3 linked regions of the Rhinolophus ferrumequinum genome follow. The protein of the gene in region 2 binds, or shares a complex with, the protein of the main gene of each other region. Links are inferred from orthologs where the notes say so. Each region holds a gene or a part of one and is shown on either strand. Other genes may lie near its edges. The genes, in order: CFP, CFB and CFD.

What was found.
Region 1: the proteins of CFB (region 2) and CFP are in contact, whole or in part, in a crystal structure (PDB 7NOZ), measured with the Homo sapiens proteins. The link is inferred for Rhinolophus ferrumequinum from reciprocal best matches to the Homo sapiens genes CFB and CFP. Residues at the interface, in NP_001701.2 of Homo sapiens: Glu54, Gln56, Ser78, Thr316, Tyr317, Leu349, Ser351, Met394; in NP_001138724.1 of Homo sapiens: Arg329, Arg330, Asn331, Lys333, Pro341, Met420, Val421.
Region 3: the proteins of CFB (region 2) and CFD are in contact, whole or in part, in a crystal structure (PDB 2XWB), measured with the Homo sapiens proteins. The link is inferred for Rhinolophus ferrumequinum from reciprocal best matches to the Homo sapiens genes CFB and CFD. Residues at the interface, in NP_001701.2 of Homo sapiens: Glu298, Ala301, Ser302, Ala332, Asp333, Ile469, Asp470, Glu471, Ser472, Glu518, Tyr519, Lys585, Asp758, Glu759, Asp760; in NP_001919.2 of Homo sapiens: Asn157, His158, Ala159, Gly160, Arg161, Arg162, Arg182, Thr183, Asp186, Arg200, Val228, Cys229, Gly230, Asn231, Arg232, Lys233.

Annotation. Positions count from the first base shown.
Region 1 is NC_046284.1:86,351,985-86,359,116, forward strand, and holds the start of CFP (properdin), read left to right. Parts: upstream 1-4,103; 5' UTR 4,104-4,320; coding exon 4,321-4,393; intron 4,394-4,471; coding exon 4,472-4,622; intron 4,623-5,806; coding exon 5,807-5,982; intron 5,983-6,452; coding exon 6,453-6,623; intron 6,624-6,758; coding exon 6,759-6,950; intron 6,951-7,132. UniProt on the Homo sapiens protein: A positive regulator of the alternate pathway (AP) of complement. It binds to and stabilizes the C3- and C5-convertase enzyme complexes. Inhibits CFI-CFH mediated degradation of Complement C3 beta chain (C3b).
Region 2 is NC_046286.1:2,395,171-2,402,691, reverse strand, and holds the start of CFB (complement factor B), read right to left. Parts: upstream 3,027-7,521; 5' UTR 2,823-3,026; coding exon 2,759-2,822; intron 2,671-2,758; coding exon 2,455-2,670; intron 2,037-2,454; coding exon 1,851-2,036; intron 1,696-1,850; coding exon 1,522-1,695; intron 1,289-1,521; coding exon 1,187-1,288; intron 1,083-1,186; coding exon 946-1,082; intron 657-945; coding exon 518-656; intron 206-517; coding exon 74-205; intron 1-73. Other genes in the region: complement C2, read right to left, coding at 3,530-3,706, 3,855-3,904, 4,058-4,184, 4,376-4,467, 4,597-4,673, 4,783-4,948, 5,066-5,180, 5,277-5,371 and 1 more.
Region 3 is NC_046301.1:62,053,474-62,060,539, reverse strand, and holds CFD (complement factor D), read left to right. Parts: upstream 1-4,376; 5' UTR 4,377-4,614; coding exon 4,615-4,672; intron 4,673-5,185; coding exon 5,186-5,342; intron 5,343-5,434; coding exon 5,435-5,579; intron 5,580-5,743; coding exon 5,744-6,001; intron 6,002-6,266; coding exon 6,267-6,428; 3' UTR 6,429-6,491; downstream 6,492-7,066. Other genes in the region: ELANE (neutrophil elastase), read left to right, coding at 336-492, 797-938, 1,655-1,885, 2,047-2,247.

The sequences.
Region 1 (7,132 bases), on a different chromosome or scaffold from region 2:
GGTGGTGAGGGCGTGAGATTGACTGTGAGAAAGAAAGCATGATGGTGTGTGTCAGACACAGGAGTAGAGACTGCAGATTGGTAACCAGGTATGAAAAAGAAACTGTGGAGAGCTGTGTGTGTGTGTGTGTGTGTGTGTGTGTGTGTGAGATCATGTGAGAGAGGGGAAGTTGTAACCACAAACTTGACATTGTGTCTGTGAGAAATTGTGGTTGTGTGTCAGGAAATCACTGTAGAAATGAATGATTAAGGTACTGTACAGTAAACTAGTGCTGTGTGTGAAACAATGTTTACGAGAAGGTCGTGGGGACTGCAAACCAGTCACTGCTTGACAGGCTACTGGTGAGCGAGACAGACTGAGTGATCAAAACAACAAGGTGTGAGAGCCTGTGGGCATGAAAGTGTGGTAGATAGAGCTTGTCGGGCACTGTGTGTAGGTGAGAAACTTCCCTGTACGTAAGCAGGTGACTCAGTGTTGGGAGATGAATTGTGTATGACACTGTTCATGCAAGTCATATCAACTAAAGTCATGGGAGCACATGTGTGAGAAGTGAATTGTATGAGGAAAAAAAATGACTGTGAAGCCAAATTTGTGCCTGAGACACAAAATACGAGAACACGTGATTGTGTGTATGAAAACTGTTCATGTGAGACTAGCAAAGACTGTGTGAGAAAGTGAGAAAAACATGGTGGTGCCTGGGACAGTATGAGAGGCTGTAATTATGTGTGTGTATACCTGAGAGTAGCGGCAAACTGATTTACAGTTACTCCTCCAGTCTAGCCCCACAGGTTCAGGGACTGTGAAAGTGTGAGAGAAAATGATGGTGAGACTGAGTGACTGAAACGGTCCACGAGACCGCATAACTGGGAGTAAGAGATGATAAGTAACAATACAAAGTCAGCGTTGCGTAAGAAAGTTGATGACTGAGCAGTACATGAGAGTGTGTGGGTCTGCAAAACATTTCATAAGACTAACTCAGAGGCTATATGTTTGTGAAAAACTGAGAATATGAGACTGGGAGACCACGTGATCGTTGTGTGTGAAAAACTGGTGAGGCTGTAATTGTGTTTGTACATGATCAGCTGACTGTATGAGGAAAATGATGGTGTAAGATGGGCCGTGAGAGACTGTGTGTATAAAATGTATTGAGAGCCTAGTAGCAATTGTGAACTAGTGACCACAGATGTCAGAAACTGACTGAGGGAAAGTGATCATGCCACTGAATGGGTGACTGAGAGAGTGTCTGAGCAACTGATTGTAGGGGTCTGTGTAGAACTCTTTGCAAGAGACTTCAATAAAGGCCATAAATCAAGGACTGGTATGTTGGAAGCTACTTGAGAAGAAATGTGAGACTAGGCGACTCAGACAGTGTCTGAGATACTGTGTGATTGTGTATGCATGTGAAACTCTTAGCTATATCTAATCAGACTGCGGGTATGTTAGTAATAAACGGGGACTTGAGTGTGAAGAGGTAGGAGACATGGTGATTTTGTGTGTGTACAAGGAATTTCGTGAGAAGCTAGTGGTGGCTGTAAATCAGTGACTATTTGTGTATGTAACAAAATGATGGCCTGAGTGATCGAAACATAAAAAGGTGTGAATGTTTGTGTGCATGTGAAAAACTGATTGGTAAGAGTAAATATTGGTAATACTGGCCAAGTGAGACAGGCTATAAGACATGATCATGTGTGTGAATTCTTAGGAGGAGAGGGTCATAAGACTGGGATTCAGTGACAGAGAAAATGACTCCTTGAGTGAGTGACTGAGAGAATGTCTGAGAGGCCATGTGGTCAAGTATGTATATGAGCCTGTTCGTAAGAGACTACAGTAGCGGCTGTAAATCCAGAACTGTGTAACTATATTTTAAAAAGAGAGAAAATGATCGAGACCAAATGAGACTGCATGAGAGACCACAAATCAAACGTGCCAGGCCTACGAGAAAGCCCTTTTCTGTTTGTCCTCTTTCTCTGCACATCACTCCTCGTCAGGCCCTATGCTCCACTCCTCTTAGTTCTCCAAAACTGGTAATGCTGGACTTCCCCCGGGCTTTGCCTGAGTTCCCTTCCCTCTTCTCATAAGCTCTGGTCCAGTCCTGGTACTTGAGACACTATTTATCTCCACCCCTATCATGCCCACTTTTTTACCTCCAACCCAGACAGACTCTTCCTCTTGGCACTTCACAGAATCTCTAAAGTTTTTTTATTTCATTTATTTCATTCAGCAGATGTTTATTGAGCCCTGCAGATAAAGCGGTTAACAAACCAGACAAAAATCCCTGCCCTTGTGGAACTGGTATTTGAGTGAGGGCGAGAAACAGATAAATATATCAAACAAGATGGCAGTGCAATAAGTACGTGAGACAAGACTCTCACTCTTTGTTTAAATAAGAAATCTGCACAGTCATTTTATTGCCCAAACATGTGGGAGAAGATGAAAGTGCGGACAATCCTTTTCCACAGGGAATCCTATGAGTATTTGTACAGTTTAGAAACAAAGAAGATATCAGTTATAACATTATTACCAGGGCAACGGGTGATTAGATAAAGCAGCCAACCAGAAGTACAGGTTTCTTGAGTATGTTTTCACAGGATAACACAGCGCTGTTGTCTAATGGCTTAGAATAACAAGACCTCTTTGTTCAAAGGAACACTTTCTGAGACAGGCTTTTGTTATCAGGAAACAATATATCTGAATGTCAACACACCTTATCGTCCATAAAACAAGATTAATATTCTTGAGAAAGTTCTGTTTTAATGTTAAACCTGACCCAATCAATTTCTTTTACTTTGTTTTAATTTGCAGAATGGTATTTTTCCTTCCGTGAATGCAAGGGAAATGACATTGCATTTGTTAGACTCCTTGTTGTTATTCTTAAAGTCTTGTTGTTAAAGCAGCTCTGAAATTTCACTCATTAGGGCTTATAAAAAGATAGTAGGTCCACGGAGCTCAGTTTTACCTGCATGGAAAATGGGTTTTATTAACAGTAAAATAGGTTTTCTCCATGAGACCTACAAAAGAAGAGAGGGGTCAGGGACTAGAATGATGGTTCTTAAAGTGTGGTCTCCAGACAAGCAGCATCACTGTCACCTGGGAACCTGTTCAAAATACACATTTTTGAGCCCCACCCTAGACCCACAGAATCAGAAATCAGAAGTGGGGGTGCGGCCCAGCAGCTTGGGATTTAACCAACCTTCCAGATGATTCTGATGCACAATAACGTTTGAGAGCCCCTGGGCTAGAGCGTGATGGGGTGCTATACAAAAAGGGTAGTTGGGCAGGCCTCTGTGAGAGAGGGGACATTTATTATCTATCTCCGTTTAGAGCGTAAGCCTTGAAGGCCAGGATTTGGAGCTGTCTTGTTCTCTGCTCCATCCAATGCTGAGAACAGCATCTGGCACCCGTAGGTGCTCAATAAATGTTGAATAAGTGTATTTCACAAAAAGTATGTACTACATGCCAGGCAGTGTGCTAAGGACTTCAAAAAATCTGAACTCAGAATCTTCGCAACAAACCCTATCAAAGATGTCACCTGCCCAAGTTACACTGATAGAACATGACCTGACCGGTGCCTTCCCAACTACCCCCTCCCAGGCACTGAAGATGTCCCCAGCAGGGCCCCTGGGACTGGATATCCCCAATTCACTCACAAATCCTCCACTCATTCACTTCCCCTTCTCACTTCCCTTGTGCTGACATCCCTTCCCCTTGCTGACACAGGGGACCTCCCTTTCAGGAAAGAGGGTGGGTTAAGTCAGGATGGAGGATGAAGCAATTACTTCAACGCCTTCTCCACCCCATGAGGATGGACATACTGAGCGTGCCACACTCATTTCACCCTATTCAACGTCCCCATGAGGTTGACTCTGTCGTGGTAGAGGGTGTGCATTTTACAGGTGAAGAAACAGCCTCAGAGAGGTTCAAGTGACTTGCCTAAGGTCACACACAGCTAGAAAGTTTGTCTTGCTCCAAACTCCTTGGCTCCATTTTCCCTCAGTAAGAATTTGTACAGAGAGCATTGATTGAGTGCTGAAAGGTTGCTAGGTGGGGCTTGGGGTGCCGGGGTTACAGTGATAAACACAGCACGATCAAGAGTGAGACAGGAAGTAGAGAGGGGAGAGTAGAGGAGGTGGCTCATGGGCAGAGGTGACAAGGGAGTGATGGGAGCCGAGGAGACCTGCCCAATGCTCCCCTCCCCCCTGCTACCCTTTGCCCTCCCAGTTCCTCCTGCCCCTGGTTCCTCTTTTTCCACTGACTCCCAGAACAGGTCAGCTCATAAAGCCAGGCCACCTCTCTGGTGAGGCTGCAGGGGCACCGCTCAGTATGCCCGCCCCAGCGCAGGCCTCTTGGTTGCTGTTCCCGCCGCTACTGCTGCTGCTGACCCTGCCATCCACAGGTGAGTAGGCGAGGGTCCAGTTGGCCCCTCAGGCCCACCATACCCTTGACCGTGCCCTCCTCCCCTTCCCTTTTACAGGCTCAGACCCTGTACTCTGCTTTACCCAGTATGAGGAATCCTCGGGCAAGTGCAAGGGCCTCCTGGGGGGAGGTGTCCGTGTGGAAGACTGCTGTCTCAACAGTGCCTACGCCTTCCAGGAGCCAGACAGCAAGCTCTGTCAGGCATGCAGGTTAGGGGGAGCCTGGGGTTAGGGGGAGGCAGGAAGGACTGTCTGTGTGACAGCCCAGAACTGGACTCTTTCCTTCTCTGGAATTTCCAAGGGTGGCTCAACGGGCCTGATCATGACCATAGCTCAGGGTTTCTCAGTCTCAACTCTATTGACATTTAGGGCCAGAAAATTATTATTGAGAGGGCTGACCTGTGCATTGCAGGGTGTTTTTTGGAATCCCCGACCTCCCACTAGATGCCAGTAGTGACTCCCCGCACCAGTTGCAGCAACCAAAGTGTCTCTAGAAATTGCCACATGTCCCCTAGGGTACAAAATCACCCCTGGTTGAAGAGTAGCATAGCTTACGTGTATTGAGCATTTCCTGCATACTGGAAGCATTGTGGGTGGGGTGCAGCTCTAGTATTTCTGAAGGTGGCTCAAGTTCTCTAATTGTGATGACAGCTCATATTGACTGCTTACTGTATACAGATGCATTGTGGAGATGGGAGAGTTTGGGGAATTCTGAGGGCAGCTGCAGGCCTCTAATTGTGATGACACATCGTATCCAGTGAGCACTTTCGGCATACCAGATGTATTGCCGAGGTCGGGGACAGCTGGCGGATTTCTGAGGGTAGCTCTAGTCTCCTAATCGTGATGCCAGCTTACATGTATTGAGCGTTTACTGTATGCCAGACATACTTCCTAACTGCTTACTGTATATCCCAGATACACCATGAGGCTGGAGAGCTTCGGGAGCTTTTTGAAGGCAGCTCTGTGCCCCTTGTCATGTCGTCAGTTCACATCTATTTAGCATTATGCTGTGCAGATCTGGGGTATTTCTTATGGGGTCTCTGAGCTCATTGGGATGATGGCTCCTATTTATTAAGCACTTCCTGTTTGCATGATGGTGGCCTGACAACAATTCTGGGCCCCTAATCCAAGGACAGTGCACACCTGGCACTGTCCTTGGGGGTACTTAAAAGGGTAGCTCCAGGTCCCTGATCGTGAAAGTAAGTGATGAGTACTTACTGTGTACCCACCTCTCCCCATTCAGTCCCCCAACATCCCTAATAGGCAGGTACCCTCATCAATCCATTCTGCACATACTTACCCGACACCCCCGCTGATGCCTGCCCATGCTTTGCAGTCGCACACACCATCCTGGCCAGCTCGTGCCAGGGTGGGACATGTGCTCCTCTCTACAGGTCCCCACAATGGTCGCCGTGGTCCCCGTGGGACCCCTGCTCAGTGACCTGCACTGAGGGCTCCCAGCTTCGGCACCGGCGCTGCATAGGCTGGGGTGGGCAGTGCTCTGAGAAGGTGGACCCTGGGACCCTCGAGTGGCAGCTGCAGGCCTGTGAGATCCAGCCATGCTGTCCTGGTAAGGAGGATCGGCAAGGCAGATGTGCACTGCCTGTCACCGGCTCTGGGAACGAGCAGGGCAGAGGCCCCGAGGGTGGGACTGTGCCTGATATTTGTGAAGCTCTGAGGAGGAGGCAAGCGGGGCTGGAGGAAAGTGGTGGGCAGTGAGGTCGTAGGAGATCTTGATCCTCGTGGGCCACAGTGAGGACATTGGCTTTTATTCTGAGTGATACGGGTTGTGGGCGGAGGATAAATGTGATCGGACTTGGCCTGTGACCTCCTCACTGTCAAGAGGACAGACTGTGGTGAGGGGTGAAGCAGAAGGACCAGTGTGAAGGTTACTGCGACAGTCCAGATGAGCAATGATGGTAGAACAGGTGTGACAGAGGATGTGGGGATAGGATTAGCTAATGTGGGGCATATGAGAAAGCGAGGATCCCTGAATGACACCCCCACCTCTATCCTGTCCCCCTCTCTTCTCTTCCACAGAGATAGGTGGCTGGTCTGACTGGGGGCCCTGGGCACCTTGCTCTGTCACCTGCTCCAAAGGGACCCAGACCCGTCGTCGAACATGTGATAACCCCACCCCGAAGTGTGGGGGCCACTGTCCAGGAGAAGCACAGGAATCAAAGGCCTGTGACACGCAGCAGGTCTGCCCCAGTGAGTGAGGGCAACCACAGGGCACTGATGCAGGTACCCAGGGTGGGTCTGCAGGTTACAGCAGGGAACTGCCAGCGTGGGAGGACTTCAGCAGCGTGACCACACTTGGCTTCTCCCTACCCCACCCCATCACAGCACATGGGGCCTGGGCTGCTTGGAGCCCCTGGGGCGCCTGCTCGGGCTCCTGCCACGGTGGACCCAGCGCACCTGTGGAGAGACGAAGCCGCACGTGTTCTGCACCTGCACCCTCCACAAATCCTCCTGGGAAGCCATGCCCAGGGCCAGCCTATGAGCAGAGAGGCTGCAGTGGCCTGCCACCCTGCCCAGGTACACAGGCATGAGGCCTCTGACACTCTGCTCTTGATTCGGGCACAGATGCTCTGCCATTTCAGGGGATAGAGATCTTAGACCATGTGACCATGGAGCTCTTTGTTTGGGGGTGGTCTGCCTCGGGGGTCTAAGGGCTGAGGGGGGAGACTGAGATGGCCTTTCTCCTCACTCCTATCCCT
Region 2 (7,521 bases):
TACATGTGGACTTAAAGGCCACACACTGGTGTGAGAGGGTGGGGAGCCGGGCAGGAGAAAGGGCCCTTCTGACCATCAGTCATGAGAATGATGACGTGGCGGGTGCGGTTCCAGCCCTCAGGACGGGTGTCCCCTTCCCAGCTCATCATGCTGTACACTGCCTGGAGGGCCTTCTTGGTGTTAGTACCCGTCTTCAACTTATGGTCTATGGAAACAGAAGACATCATCACCTCATCTAGTCCTCCAAGCCTCCCTTGAACCCCAGAGGCCTACCAGCAACTGAGATCCCACCTCTTTCAACTTTCAACTTTTTCAGTTGTCACCCCACCGACTTCCCTTTGACCACAAAGCGACCCTCAGCCCCTAACAGGTTCCCACTAATGCCCGTTCCCCCAGTGACTGCTGACCAGCCATGGACTACACAATGGTCCTCCCTGCATCCCCACGTGGACTCACAACACCCCTGAACCCTGTGACCTCAAAATGAACTTCCCACCATTCCCTTACGACTTCTGACCTTCATAGCTGATTTTATTGAGCTTTTCTGTGACCCAGGCTGCGTCGCTGCTCTGTGCTTCAGACACTCTGATCAAAGTTTTGGCATCTGTGGCATACGTCACTAGACCATATTTTGGCTTCACCCCATAACTTGCCACCTGAGGGAAGCAAAGGGTCATGACACTGCAAGTAGAATACTTGAGAGAATTCAGCATCTTTGCTGAGATAGGGAAGGTCAGTAAGAGACTCAAGCGCTGACTGGTTATCTGAGGTTCACAGGGGCTGGAAAAGTCAAGAAATAGCTTCAAGGAAAGGGGAAGGACAGAATAGAACCTAGGGATTTTCTGGAACCCTGTGGCTCAGAGGGGCTAGGAACACTGGAAGCTAGTCCTGGCAGGGCAGTGAGGCACATTCAGGGTCCCCACATTCAGGGAGGGGGGGCTCCACCTTCTCAATGAAGTGTGTGAGACAATTCTTGGCCCCTGTGAAGTTGTGTGCCCCAATGCTGTCTGATCCATCCAGCACCAGGTAGATGTTCATGGAGCCTGAGGGGTCCAGGACAATCTTCCTCTTCTGTTGTTCCCCTAGGTGCCACCAGAGACGTTCAAGCTCCAGCACGCGGGCTTCTCCTGCCCCTTCTCCATCCTCCCCTTGGTTCCTTGCCCCGCCTCCCACTCTGCCTTCAGACCTGGGCTGTGGCCGTCATCAGCATCGACTCCTTCTATAGTCTCCGTCAGAGAAGACAGGAAGGCTTCAGCCACCTCTCCAGGGGTATCGTACATAAAGGAGTCTGGGAGAGGTCAGAAATCAGGTCAAATGTCTGGGAGGGTCAGGGACACAGTGACCAGAGAGAGGGGATGGTGGGTTTCCAGGGTGGGAAGGGCTCAGAAGTGAGGATGTTCTACAGGGAGGTTTAGAAATGGAAAGAGCTGGGCTGGGAGAGAGGGAGCAGACAGTGTGCCACTGTGGGAACTTGAGGTTGGGAAAGCAGTATCTGACCTGAGGGCATGGGTCAAGGGTCACCTTGGCAAGAAGGCTCTGTCCCACTCCAAGAGCCACCTTCCAGGCATGTTCGCTGATGGGAGCCACGCAGGGTGAGCCCCCGGCTGCAGTAGTAGGTGACACTGTCTTCAAGGCGGTACTGGCTGCCCACCTTCCTTGTGCCGATGGGGATGCCTGGGTTGGGGCAGTACGCCGCTGCAGAGGCATGAGACACAGAGGTGAGGGCCAAAGCTGGAGGCCCAGAGGGCCGGGCGGAGCACAGCTGTGACAGTGCCCGTTCCTCAGGCTGCAGCTCCGTCAGGGAGCGGCTACCTTGGGAGGGGAGGGGTGGCGGTGGCAAGGCTTCTCACCTCCATTGTCACAGATGGCTGTTTGCCCATCCCACCGACCGTTCGCTTGGCAGGTGCGATTGGCAGAGCCCCGGAGAGTGTAACCATCATAGCAGTGGAAAGAAAGCTGGTCACTCAGATTGTAGTAGGGGGATCGGGGCCAATAGTCCCCGTTCTCAAAGTCCTGTGGTCTTGGGCAACGAATTGCTTTGAGGAGAGGAACAAGCAGAAGTTACTGAGAGGGGAGGGCTGCCCTTTAGGGTATCCCTCCTGGTCTCGGGGTCCCTGTCACTCAAAAATGGCACCTTCTCGGTCCCACAGGGGCAGAGTCTACCTGCAGCCCCTGGAGGATCCCTCAACCTGTGGGGAGTCCCGCTGCTCCTCCCTCCCCACTCCCGAGTGTTCTTTTAACTGCCAGGGCTGCCCAGTGCTGGGTAAATGCTTAGTAAAGTTAGCTGCCTTCCTCCTTCCTCCTTCCTCCTTCCTCCTCCCTCCTTCCCACCTCCCTCCAGCCCCCGACAGCCTGCCTGGTCTCAACACACTCTAATCTCATCCTAGGCTGGACCTTGACCACCACCTGCTCCTGCCCTCTGCTGGCCCACGCCCACCCTCACTACCCTCCAACCTCTGCATTCTGCCTTCTTGACAATCTTTTGGTCTTGGGTCTGCAGGGTGCTCCAGGAGCCCGTGGATCGGCAGGTGCGAGCCTGCACAGGGTATGGGTAGAAGCCAGAGGGACAGACGTACTCCAGTGCCTGACCCTCCTTGAGAAGCCGGAAGGAGCCACCTTTGATTTCTACTCCCTCCAGAGAGCAGGGGCTTTCGGACGTCATGCTCACACCTAAAGGAACAGGCTGATGAAGCCTGGCCTGACAAGGCCAGGGAGGGGTGCTGGGGCAGCAGGAGGGGAAGCGGTGACCCTGGCTTACCTCTAGTCAAGAGACCCAGGACCAAGGACACCAGGCAGAGTCGGGGGCTGAGGTTGCTCCCCATGATGATGGAAGGCAGGAGAGAGGCTGGGCTGGAGACAGGGTGGCCTTCCCCAGCTTGCACTACGTGCTGCTTGGCTCAGTGTCCAAGCTGAAACTCTAGACCTAGGCCTGGTCACAGTCCTTTCCCCCTGCCCCTCACAACTGCCAGCGATTTATGCACTCTGTGTGCTGGCACCTGTGCTTCAGCCTGCCCGCCCTACCCACATCACTTTCCGGAATGTCCAAGAGGGAGGGCCCCACTGAGCTACCAGTCGAGGAACTAGAAACTGCACAAGCCCCACCCTTTGCCATGCAAGGTCCAGGACTCTCCCTTTCAACACCTCCTCTCTGCCACAGCTCCTCCCCAACAAGACCAGACTGCCCCCTTACAGACCAGAAATAAGGCCCCAGCTCCCCCCACCCCCGTTGAGTGTTACGGAGCAGAGTCCAGCCACTGTTTGTCCAGCAGGGTCTCTGACCTGCCTCCTGCAGTTCCTGGAATCATTCCTGCTTCCCCACCCCCCAGGCAGAGGCACAGACAGATGTGGAAATCACTGATTTTTATTAATTTCATAAGTGGGGAATTCCATGTGAAAGTGAAAGGAGAGTGAGTCACGTTAAGCTGAGGGTGGGCACTGGGTGAGGATGGGTCTGGGGACAGACATTCAGAGGTAGGACATGGGACAGATGGCAGGCCCCACAGGACAGCAGAGGGCTCAGTGGGCATGATTAGAGGGGCAAAAAGTCCAGGACACCCTCCAGGTGCTGCCTCAACCAGGGCTGCAGGCGGAAGAGACTGATGTGGAAGTCTCGCGGCGGTGGGACGTTGCCCCTGGGGGCTTTCTTGCGGGAGTTTTTATTGGTGCTGCTACAGGGGTTGTAGAGACCCCAGCTCACCAGGCCCACCTAGAAGAAGGCAAGAATGGGACAGGAGGCTGCCACAGCCCCAGCTCCAAGCCCCAACCTCCCTGTGTCCTCCAAAGGCCTCCCTCATCCCCCACAAGGCCAAGATCCTACCACCCCAGTCCTGTGAGCTTCTCCCTTCTCTCCTCACCTGAAAAAACCTGAATCTCCGCTCAAGGAAAACTGCTCCTCCGGATTCTCCTGCAGAAAGAAGGGACAAGAGACTGTCACCCAACTCTCCTCTGCTCCCCTGTCATGGAGGCAGTGCAGTGTCCTGGCCTGCGTGCTGGCCACAGGTGGCCTTCCCCTCAGGAATCCAGGCGCCAGAGTTGAGGCTGGGTGGGAGGCGCTCACCTTTGCAGGGATTGTCATCTTCCCCGGTCCCACTGCATAGGAACTGGTCTGTTACCACCTCTCTGACATCTGTTAAATTGGGGAACATTTTCTTGTCTTGGGAGACGACCTCGATACAGCTTGCCCACTGCAGTAAGGGAGGAACAGGAGAGAAGAATGGAATGAGCAGGCCCCGGGCATTCCAGCTAGGCCTTGGAGCAGGAGTGACTCGGGCTCAGACGGAGAAAGCAGCCGGAGCTGGAGGAGGCCAACAGACATTCTAGTAGACGCCCCGGGGGAATCCCATCGCCCACAGCCTCCCAGGCCTGGGACCCTCACCTCCATCCCTGTCTTGAGGTTAATGTTCAGTGTGTCCCCGTTCAAGGCCGCAAAATGAGCAGGAACGCTCAGTTTGTTCAGAAGTTCGTTCTCTGCAGTCAAGGAGAAGGGGAGGTTGGTGCTGGTCCCTTTACCCTGACTTGGGGACGGCAGCACAGCTCGTGTAGTCACCCCCAAGCCCAGGTCCCAGCTCCTCACACATCTGAAGCCCCAGCGCTCACCGTGCTCTCGGCAGGTGCTGCCTGGGGGTCTCCGCAGGGCCAGATTGGCCCCCACCGTACAGGGAAGGCAGATGGGCCTGGGGAGAAGGGCGAGGGTCACACAGGCCCATCCTTGGTTCCCCACTTCTCGGGGGCTCCCCGGAGCATTCTACCCCAGAGGACACCCTCCCACCCACAGGCTGGGACCTGGCATGGGTGGACATCTTCACTTTCTGGGCCAGCTTTAGCAGCGCAATGTCATCAGCATAGAACTCCAGGATTCCCTGAGGCTTCTTGGCAAAGACATTGAACTCCGAGGAGATTACCACCTTCTCAATTTGGAAGTCTTTGCCCCACTGGGAGTTGGGATCCCCTAGAAACAATACGGCAGATTAGGCTGGACCAGGGCTCCTAAAGGGCCCAGAGACTAGGGACAAGGTGTGGGAGCTCTGGCCGTGCGGTCAGGAACCTGGTAGGGGCCCTGTCTCACCCACGTTGACCCTCCACAGGGAACGGTCCTCGTCGGCATGGCGGAAGCAGTGAGCGGCAGTCAGGACCCACTGGTCTGAGATGAGGGAGCCGCGGCAGGTCTCCTGGCTCTTAGGCTACAGGAGAACAGACGATCTTCAGGGCCTGCTGTGTCTCTGGCCCATGGCCACTTTCACCTCTGGGATCCAAGCCCCGTCCCTCCTTCCTGTTACCTTGATAGTGACATGCCAGGGTGTTCTCTCCTGGGCAGAGGCATTAGCTGACATGTTTCCCACCCCACATATGGTGTCTATGAGCTGGGAGACATCTGCAGGTGTGAGGAGCAGACGGGGAAGGATGCAGGTGAGGGGCGCTGGGAACAGGTTCTCCAGCTGTGCCCCTGGCTGGCTCCGGACTGCCTCCCCAGTCTGGAGAGGGCGGACGAAGCTCACTCACCCAGCATGTGCTCAAAGACCTGGTACAGAGCCTGTGTGTCCTGCAGGATGAAGGCATGCCTCTCGCCGTCCTTCTTGGAGCCCAGTTCATTCAGTTCTCTCCAGTCCACATCCAGCTTGCCCACCCCGATGGCATAGATGTCTGATGGGGAGGAGGAAATCACCAGAACTGTGGGTGTGGCTGGGGGCTACCCCGTGAGACAGGAGGCTGTGATTTGGAACTCACTGGGTCCTACAAAGCCCTAATGAGCTGGAACCTCCACCCACACACCTCTCTGGCTTCATTTTCTACCACTCCTTGCCCTTCCCTCTTCCAGCCACATAACCTTCTTGAAGTTCCTCGAATTTGCAGGTGCTCTTACCTCAGGCCTTTGGCACAAGCCACGCCTCTGCCTGGCTCCCTCACCCCGCAGACTTCCCACATGGCTCACTTTCTTACCTTTTTAAGTCTTGACTCAAATGTCATTGTCTCAGCCAGTCCTTCCCTGGCCTTGTTGTCTAAAATGGCAATGCCCCAGACACTTCCATTCCTGCCTGCTTCATTTTATACCTTAGCACATGTCACTAGCTACCGTGACATGCGGGCTCCTTATTTATCTTATTTAATGCCAACAGTGGGTAGAACTGTTTCCCCCGGAGGATATGTTCAAGTCCTAAACCTCAGAACCTGTGAATGTGCCCTTGTTTGGAAATAGGGTCTTTGAGGACGTGATCAAGTTAAGATGAGTTCACACTGGATTAGGGTGGGCCCTGATCTGAGGCCCGTGTCCTTCTAAGGGGATTTGGGACACAGACATAGAGAGAATGCTGTGGGACAACCCAGAGAGGCACTGAGGGAAGAAAGGGATGCAAAGACAGAGTCAGAGCCTGGGTGACCCTGCTACAAGCCGGGGACGGCCTAGGGTCACCAGAAGCTGGAAGAGTGAGAAAAAATTCTTGCCTAGAGGCTCCAGAGGGAGCAGGGCCCTGCTGACTCCTTGGTTTTGGACTTTTAGCCTCCTGAATGTGAGAGAATGGATTCCTGTTGTTTTGAGCCACCCAGGTTTGCATAAATGGTTGTACCAGCCCGAGCAAACTAGTGCATTGGCCCCTCCAGAATGGCATCCCCATGCAAGTAGGCATTTTTGTCTGTTTCATTTATAGCTCTATCCTTCGAATGCTGCTTAGCCCAGAAGAGACTCTCAGAAGATCTTTTAAATGACTGAATGAATAAAAAGAACTCTGAACATAACATGGAGGAAAAACTTCAGATTTGGTCTTCCTCTGTAACATGCAGGCTCTGGCAGAGGAGCCTGGAGCCACCTCTTCCCACTGGAAAATCTGGGCTCACAACAACCAACCAGGCCCAGCCTCTCCGTGAGTGTGCGTGCCAGCCAGAACCGCCCTGCAGTGGCCCACAGAGTCTGCCGTCTCCCACACTTTGCATAAGGAGTCGCGGCCTTTTTGCTCCCAGAGGGCCCTGTGTTGTGTGTAAGGAGTGAGATGCTCAGAAGTCTTCCCTCAGGAAGCAACTCGCACTGGCCAGGATGGAGCAGTTGCAGTAGGTGCTAGACAATTATCCTGCCCCTGTGTTTTCTTTAACTATTTCCCTTCAGTTTCTGCTTCTTTTTTAAAAAGTGTTTTTGAGCATTTAATCCTGGCCCAGTGATGCTAAGGAGTTAGGGAATGGAGTTTGGGTTTTGCTTTTCTCGGGCCAGAGTTTTAAAGAAGAATCTGCTTTCCACTGAGGGGCAGTTTGGGGTAGGACAGAAAAGAAAGGACCCAAGGGGAAAGTGAGACTTGGGAGTTCAAAGCCAGCTGCCCTTCCTTATCTGCGGCGCTCTCTCTGAAATTCTTTTCTGGTCAAAAGTCAGTGCAATTTTTATTTACTCTGAACCCCAGGAATTGTTCTTTTGGAGTCTGCAACTGCCGAAGCCTTAGTTAGTTATCTGTACTGCCAAGAGGGGAAATGCCAGGGACAGTCCCCACAAGGAGTCCAGGCCTTTTCTTCCTGGAGAGGTGTGTGGGACATAAAATGGTGGAT
Region 3 (7,066 bases), on a different chromosome or scaffold from region 2:
GTGGCCTCTTCACCCTCATGGGGAGGTGATGGCTGGGATGGGGAGACCTGTTTCCAGAGAAAGAGACCGAGGTCCAGAGTGGTGAAGAGCCCAGAGTTTGAACTGGGGCATCACTGGGCATGCTCTGGGGACTGCAAAGCCAAATTAAATCCAGATCTAGCTGTGCCCTGGCAGGGGGCAGTAGGAGGCCCCCTATCTCTCTGTGCCTCAGTTTCCTCATCTGGCACATGAAGAGCCCTGATCTGTGGGTTCCTGGTGAGAGTTCAAGGGCTGACTGGCTCAGCAGGTGGGGCTCCTGCGTGGCACTCACTACCCCCGCCTCCACGTATCCCCAGGTCCCGCGCTAGCCTCTGAGATCGTGGGTGGTCGGCAGGCCCAGCCCCACGCATGGCCCTTCATGGTGTCTCTGCAGCGGCAAGGAGGCCACTTCTGCGGTGGCACCCTGGTGGCCCCGAACTTTGTCATGTCGGCCGCGCACTGTGTGAACGGCATGTGAGTGATCGCCTTCCCTGCCCTCGCCACCCCGTGTGTCTTCCCTTCTCAGACCCTCTGTTTCCACATCTGTCAAAGGGGGAGAGTGAGACCAGGGCCCAGGCTCCTCCAGGGGTCCCCCATGAACGCATCTCCCCTACCAGGCCCAAGTGGGGGCGTTCAGCCAATGAGCCCAAGCATCTGCCCAGGGTGGCGATGCTACCCCTGGGTGTAGAGCCGGGCTTGGCTGAGCTCTGGAGTCTCTCAGCTACCCCCAACGCCTGGGGCCACCTCGAATCACCTCCTGCACCCATTTTGCCTATAGAAACTTCCAGAGGGTGCGGGCGGTGCTGGGGGCACACAACCTGGGGCAGCGTGAGCCCACCCAACAGTCGTTTGCCATCCAGCAAGTCTTTGAAAATGGCTTCGACCCCGAGAGGCTGCTGAACGACATCGTGATTCTGAAGGTGCAAGGCCAGTGGGGTGGGAAGTGATGCCCAGGCAGGGGACCGGCAGGTGCAAAGGCCCAGGGCCAAAGGCTTGGAAAGGGCAGAGACAGAGCGGAAACACTGGAGGTCACATGCGGCTCTAACTTGATAGTTCGTCTCTGTGCCTCAGTTTCCACTCATGTAACCTGGGGAAACAAGCCCCTCCTGGCAAAGCTGTTGAGAGAGTGAACGAGAAGACACAGAGAGATCTAGACACAGAGAGATCTAGTTGTCAATCAACAAAATGTTATGATTATTTGTGTTTGATGGCCCTGTGCCCAGGGACTGTTCCTGCCTTTGTGAAATGGCAAAATTCCCCACATCTGGGCTGAAGGGAAACTGGAGGGAGAAACCCTCCCTTCCCCACTGCTGGCAGAGTTATGATTATTCTCTGGAATGTTTTAGAATACGGTTTCGTTGTCATTGGTGTTGCCCATAGCTTGTTATATTGAGTATGTATGTTTACTCCTCTCAATACACATCCAGGGACGCCCTGAGCCACTGTTGTTGTTCCTATTTCAGAGATGGGAAAACTGAGACTGAGGGTGGGGAGCATCTCACTGGGTGGGCAGCCTACTCCGTAAAATCCCAGAACCATGGTGGGACCTTATGTGGGGAAATTGAGGCCCAGAAAGGGGAGGGCCGGTGCCCACCTCCCTGTGTGACTCTCCTGTCCTCTGCCCTGCCCACTACAGCTCAATGGGTCAGCCACCATCAATGCCAATGTGCAGGTGGCCCAGCTGCCCGATCAGGACCAAGGCGTGGGCAATGGGGTGCAGTGCCTAGCCATGGGCTGGGGCCGGTTGGGCACCAACCGGCCACCACCCAGAGTCCTGCAGGAGCTCAACGTGACCGTGGTAACATCCCTCTGCCGCCCCACAAATGTGTGCACAATGGTGCCTCGCCGGCGGGCAGGCATCTGCTTCGTAAGTACCCGCATCCCCTCACCACTCCACCCTCACTCCTGCCCAGACTGCAGCAAGTGGAACTGCAGCCAGACCCTGGGAAAGACTTCCCAACTCTGAAGGGCAGTGGGTGGGGAGCCCCGGAAGCCCAGCCTCCCCACCTAGTCTGGCTCCACACACAGGGGGACTCCGGTGGGCCTCTTGTCTGCAACGGGCTGATCCATGGGATTGACTCCTTCATCCGGGGAAGCTGTGGCTCCGGCTTGTACCCAGACGCCTTTGCCCCCGTCGCGCAGTTTGCCGACTGGATCAACTCCATCATTCGCAGCCCCGGTGACCAGCCCCATCTCCACCCCAGGGACCCTGCAAGCAGGATCCGCTAGAAGGGGCTGGCCCTGTCACCCCACCTCACCTGCCCCTGGCTGGGGCCTTCCCACGCTCCGTTATGCAGCATCTGGCACAATAAAAACCCTCTGTTTTGTAGACTGTGTCTTGGTGTTGGTTGTGTAATTGGGCGTTGAAAGCAGTCATGAGAGCATCTTGGGAATCTCACGAGTATGAGCATTGGAGTAAGTTCCTTCTCCACCCTCCACAAAGAATGCCAGTTGCCATTTCTGGTTTCCCTCATGTAAAACCGGGTTTTGTGTGATTAAATTAGCATTGCACGTGGTGATGACACAAAGCACTGTAGCAGGTGTTCGTTGAGTGCTTACCAGGTGCAGGAATCATTCTCAGTCTTTGCAAGTGTTCGCTCATCCAGCCCTCTGAGGCTCCAGCCCTTGTGGCCGGTCCCGTCAGTGCCCTGTTTTACAGAGCAAGAGAGGTGAAGCCCTGTTCGGGAGCCTGGCTTTGAGTCCAAGCTCTAACTTTGGGCAACTTGCTCACTGTCTCTGAGCCTCCGTTTCCCTGCGGGGAGGAGTGAGGTGCTGTATGGTAAGGGGGGTTGGGGTCTCATTGGGTGACACAGACGAGCCCTCCTTCACCTCCCCAGCATTTTACTCTGCCAAAGGGGGAAGGGCAGAGCAGATGATTTCCAAGGCATCCCCCAGACCAGATGGAAGTTGCAGCCCTGAAAGAGGGGACCAGCCTGTACCCCTCTTCTACCTTCCTGGGGCCACAGGCAGGGACCACAACAGATATGGCCTCTGCCATCACGCAGCTCACAGTCTGACAGTGGGGGAAGAAACAATCACTTAAGCAAGCAAATAGAGAAATACCATCAGGTAATGCTGTCCCCCACACACGCCATGAGTTTGGGATGAATCTCCTCTCCCCTCTCTGTCCCCTGGCCCCCAATACCTTCCCGCTGGAGCTCAGAAGCCTAGGTCCCCCTCAGGGCCTTTGCTTTGGCTGTCCCCTCTGCCTGACTGCTCTTCCCGCAGGGTGTCCCCTTATCCCACCTCTCCAAGGAACAGCTGCTCAGAAATGTGACCATCTGCCATGCAATTGCTTTTTCCACTCAATACTATACGCAGGCAGTCTTTCCACATCCACATGACATCTGGGGACCATCAGGGTTATTTATTGAACCGCCCCATCTTCCAGGGTGGTTTCCAAATTTTGTTGCAATTTTAAACACTCTTACTCACATAATTTGGACCTCATATCCTCATGGGCATTTGTTCAGAACTGATTTTAATAAGGAAATATGTTAGGATCTAACAGATCACATGTTATTTTCTAATTTTTTCTGTATGTATGAAATAATCCGCTGTGAGGAAGGAAAAAAAAAGGGGAAAGTATTGTGTACTGTTCCCACTGGGGTCATATGAGGTCCATCCCCCCCTTCTGGTCCCATCACCCCCCCCCAATAGGTACATGAGATGTTGATCCCCCATCCCCACCTTACAGAGAGGGTCATGTGACCCGAGTTCTGCTCATCAGAACCTGCCATCCCCTGCCTGCAGTGACTGGTTTGGGAGGGGGCATGTGATCCAAACTCAGCCAATCAGAGACAGCCTGGAGACACTGGCTGGAGTGATGGGGAATTGCGGAGGGGGGGCACTGAGCCACTGGGCTGAGTCTGGGGCCTCTGAGGCCACAACGCTGGAGCCTGGTTAGGAGAAAAGCCATCAAGGAGGAAGGAGAAACCAGAGACAGCGGCCTGACATTGTTCAAGGCACCTGGATCAAGCCACACCTAAAGGCAGACACTGAACTTTCCATTTAAATTTCCTTGTTGAAGGCACAGTCTTTCCACTTGCCCCTACACACCACCTTTCTAATGTCCTGCTTGTTGGGGTATCAGGCTCCAGAGCTGCAGCAATGGGACAAGGGTGTGGGGTGACCTTCCTCCTACCCCCTCCAAGCTGGAAAAGGAAGAGAGAAAAGGGAGGAGCAAAAAAATGAGGAAGTGGGTTGTTTATAAACCGTGGCCTCCAGCTGCTGTTTCGAAACCTGGGGCTGGAGGGGTGCTCTGGGGGCGTGGGTGTGGGTTGTCCCTTCGCCCTGCTTCTGCCCACCCTAAGGGGCTGCTCACCACACCAGAGCCAACCCTGGGCTGCTCACCACACCAGAGCCAACCCTGGGCCAGGTGCACGGAGGCAGGAGGCACCCCTTGTGGTGCAAAGTACAGCAGGAGAGAACCCCACCCAGAGGAGAGTGAAGCGGGCCGGCGGGGGCGGGCTTTTCTTTCCTAGCTGGGTGACTGCCCACCCAGCAGACAGGGCCTGTGGCAGCCACCACCCCCTCCACCCTCATAAGAGTGTCCCAGGACCCCGCCTGAATCAGTGTGGCGGTAACAGCAGCATCATGGCAAACCTCTCAGTGCACCTGGCGGCTCTGATCCTCCTAGGAGCAGCTCTATGCGGTGAGTGAACCTGTAACTGGAGTGGACCAGCTAGGGGCCACCCGCCTACAGAGCAGTCAGCCAGGGACCCCCTCTGTCACACAGGACTGTCTCCCAGCCCCTCTCGGTGGGCAGAAGGGGTCAGTGTCCTTGTGAATGGAAGACTCTGAAAGTCCAGGAATTCTCAAAACTTGGATCTGAAATGCGCAGTTCTACAGTGGAAACTGGCGGCCGGCGGGCCGAACAGGCCAGCAGGAGTGTTGGTCCTGTCAGCTCCACTTTTCTTGGGACTTTTCTTAGGTTTAAATAGAACCCGTGCTGCTCATTGTGTGTGACGGAATGTGCCCCAGACCCTGGCATTCCCTATCCTTCCCAGGCCCCCAGGCATCTGAGCTTGCGACGCTGGGGTGTGGGGATCCAGGGATGGAATTCCAGGTCTGAGGCGGGTAGAGCGGCCTGGGGTGTGGAAACGGCGTCTGTGGGCTGGGCTGCAGGCATCCCCTACGTCCTCACGCGCTTGTTGCCCATCCCCAGCGGCGCAGCCCCGCGGCCGAATCCTGGGCGGCAGAGAGGCCAACTCCCACCAACGGCCTTACATGGCCTCGGTGCAGGTGAATGGCAAACACGTGTGCGGCGGCTTCCTGGTGGCCGAGCAGTGGGTATTGAGCGCAGCGCATTGCCTGGAGGACGTGTGAGTGGCCTGGACGAGGGTGCGGGGCTATAGAGTGGGGGAGGGGTTGGAGTGCGGACCTTGCTCTGACGTGGACTCTACCCCACTCCCAGGGCCGACGGGAAGGTGCAGGTGCTCCTGGGCGCGCACTCGCTGTCGCAGAGGGAACCCTTTAAGCGCCTGTACGACGTACTCCGCGCAGTGCCCCACCCGGACAGCCGGCACGACACCATCGACCATGACCTGCTCCTGCTGCAGGTCGGCCAAGTCTAGCGGCAGTTCCTCCTGCTGCATCCAACACCCCCAGACCCCAGACCTGGCGCCCGCCTCCCCCCACCAGGTCCCACCGAGTCCAGCGGTAGTCCCTCCTGCTACATGCCCCCCGGACCCCAGCCCTGACGCCCATCTCCTCCCACCTGCAGCTTTCTGAGAAGGCAGAGCTGGGCCCAGCTGTGCAGCCCCTGCCCTGGCAGCGAGAGGACCGCGACGTGGCCGCTCGCACGCTCTGCGACGTGGCCGGCTGGGGCGTGGTTAGCCACACGGGCCGCCAGCCCGACCGCCTGCAGTACCTGACCCTGCGGGTGATGGACCGAGACACCTGCAACCTGCGCAGGTATCACGACGGCACCATCACGGAGCGCATGATGTGCGCAGAGAGCAACCGCCGGGACACCTGCAAGGTGCGGAGTGGGGCGGAGCCAGCAGAAGGGCGGGGCTGCATGGAGGGCGGGGCCAATCGAAGGGGCCGAGCTGAGAGCTGGGAAGGCGGGGCCTTGGTGGGTGGGGCCTGCAGTGGTGGGCAGGGCCTGGGCAGATTGATGCGAGAGAGGGCAGGTTGAGGCCAGGGGGAGGAACAGGAACTGCAGTGGCGGAGCTCCAGGTGAACACAGGAGAACAGGAGGGCCTGCGGAGGTGCACCAGCCCTCACGGCCCTGTCCCATGCAGGGCGACTCCGGAGGCCCGCTGGTATGCGGGGGCGTCGCCGAGGGCGTAGTCACCTCCGGATCCCGCGTGTGCGGCAACCCCAAGAAGCCGGGCATATACACGCGCGTGGCGAGCTACGCGGCCTGGATCGATGGTGTGATGGCTGGGGCTGAGGCCGCCTGAGGAGGACCTGAGGGCCTGGAGTCACCAGGAAGCAATAAAGTCACCCACTTCTGCATCCCGTCAGACTTTATTTTTTGTTTCTATTTTGTTTGTTCATTTATTAGGTTGGTGCAAACGTAATTGCAGTTTAAAAGGTTAAAAATAATTGCAAAAACCGCAATTACGTTTACACCAACCTAATATTTTGTTCTTTAGATTCCACATACGTATAAGTGAGGTCATATGGTATTTATCTTTATCTGACTTACTTCACTCAGCATAATACCATCTAGGTCCATCCATGTTGCCACAAATGGCAAGATTTTGTTCTTTTCTTATGATTGAATAATATTTCACTATATATGTGTGTGTGTGTATATATATATATATATATAGAGAGAGAGAGAGAGAGACAGAGAGAGAGGAGAGAGCTCCAACAAAACAAATGCATACAATTTTAAGAAAGGAAAAAACTATTAAAATTACACGGATGGTAACCACTTCGAGCACCTCTTGTAATTGCAGAAGTCAAACATGACTTGTATTCATCTTTTGTTATCGGTATATATTGTGTATTACAATTTTAATACAGTTTTTTCCTTTCTTAAAATGTGTATACTTTTTTTGGCTTTCTCTCTCTCTCTCTCTCTCTCTCTCTC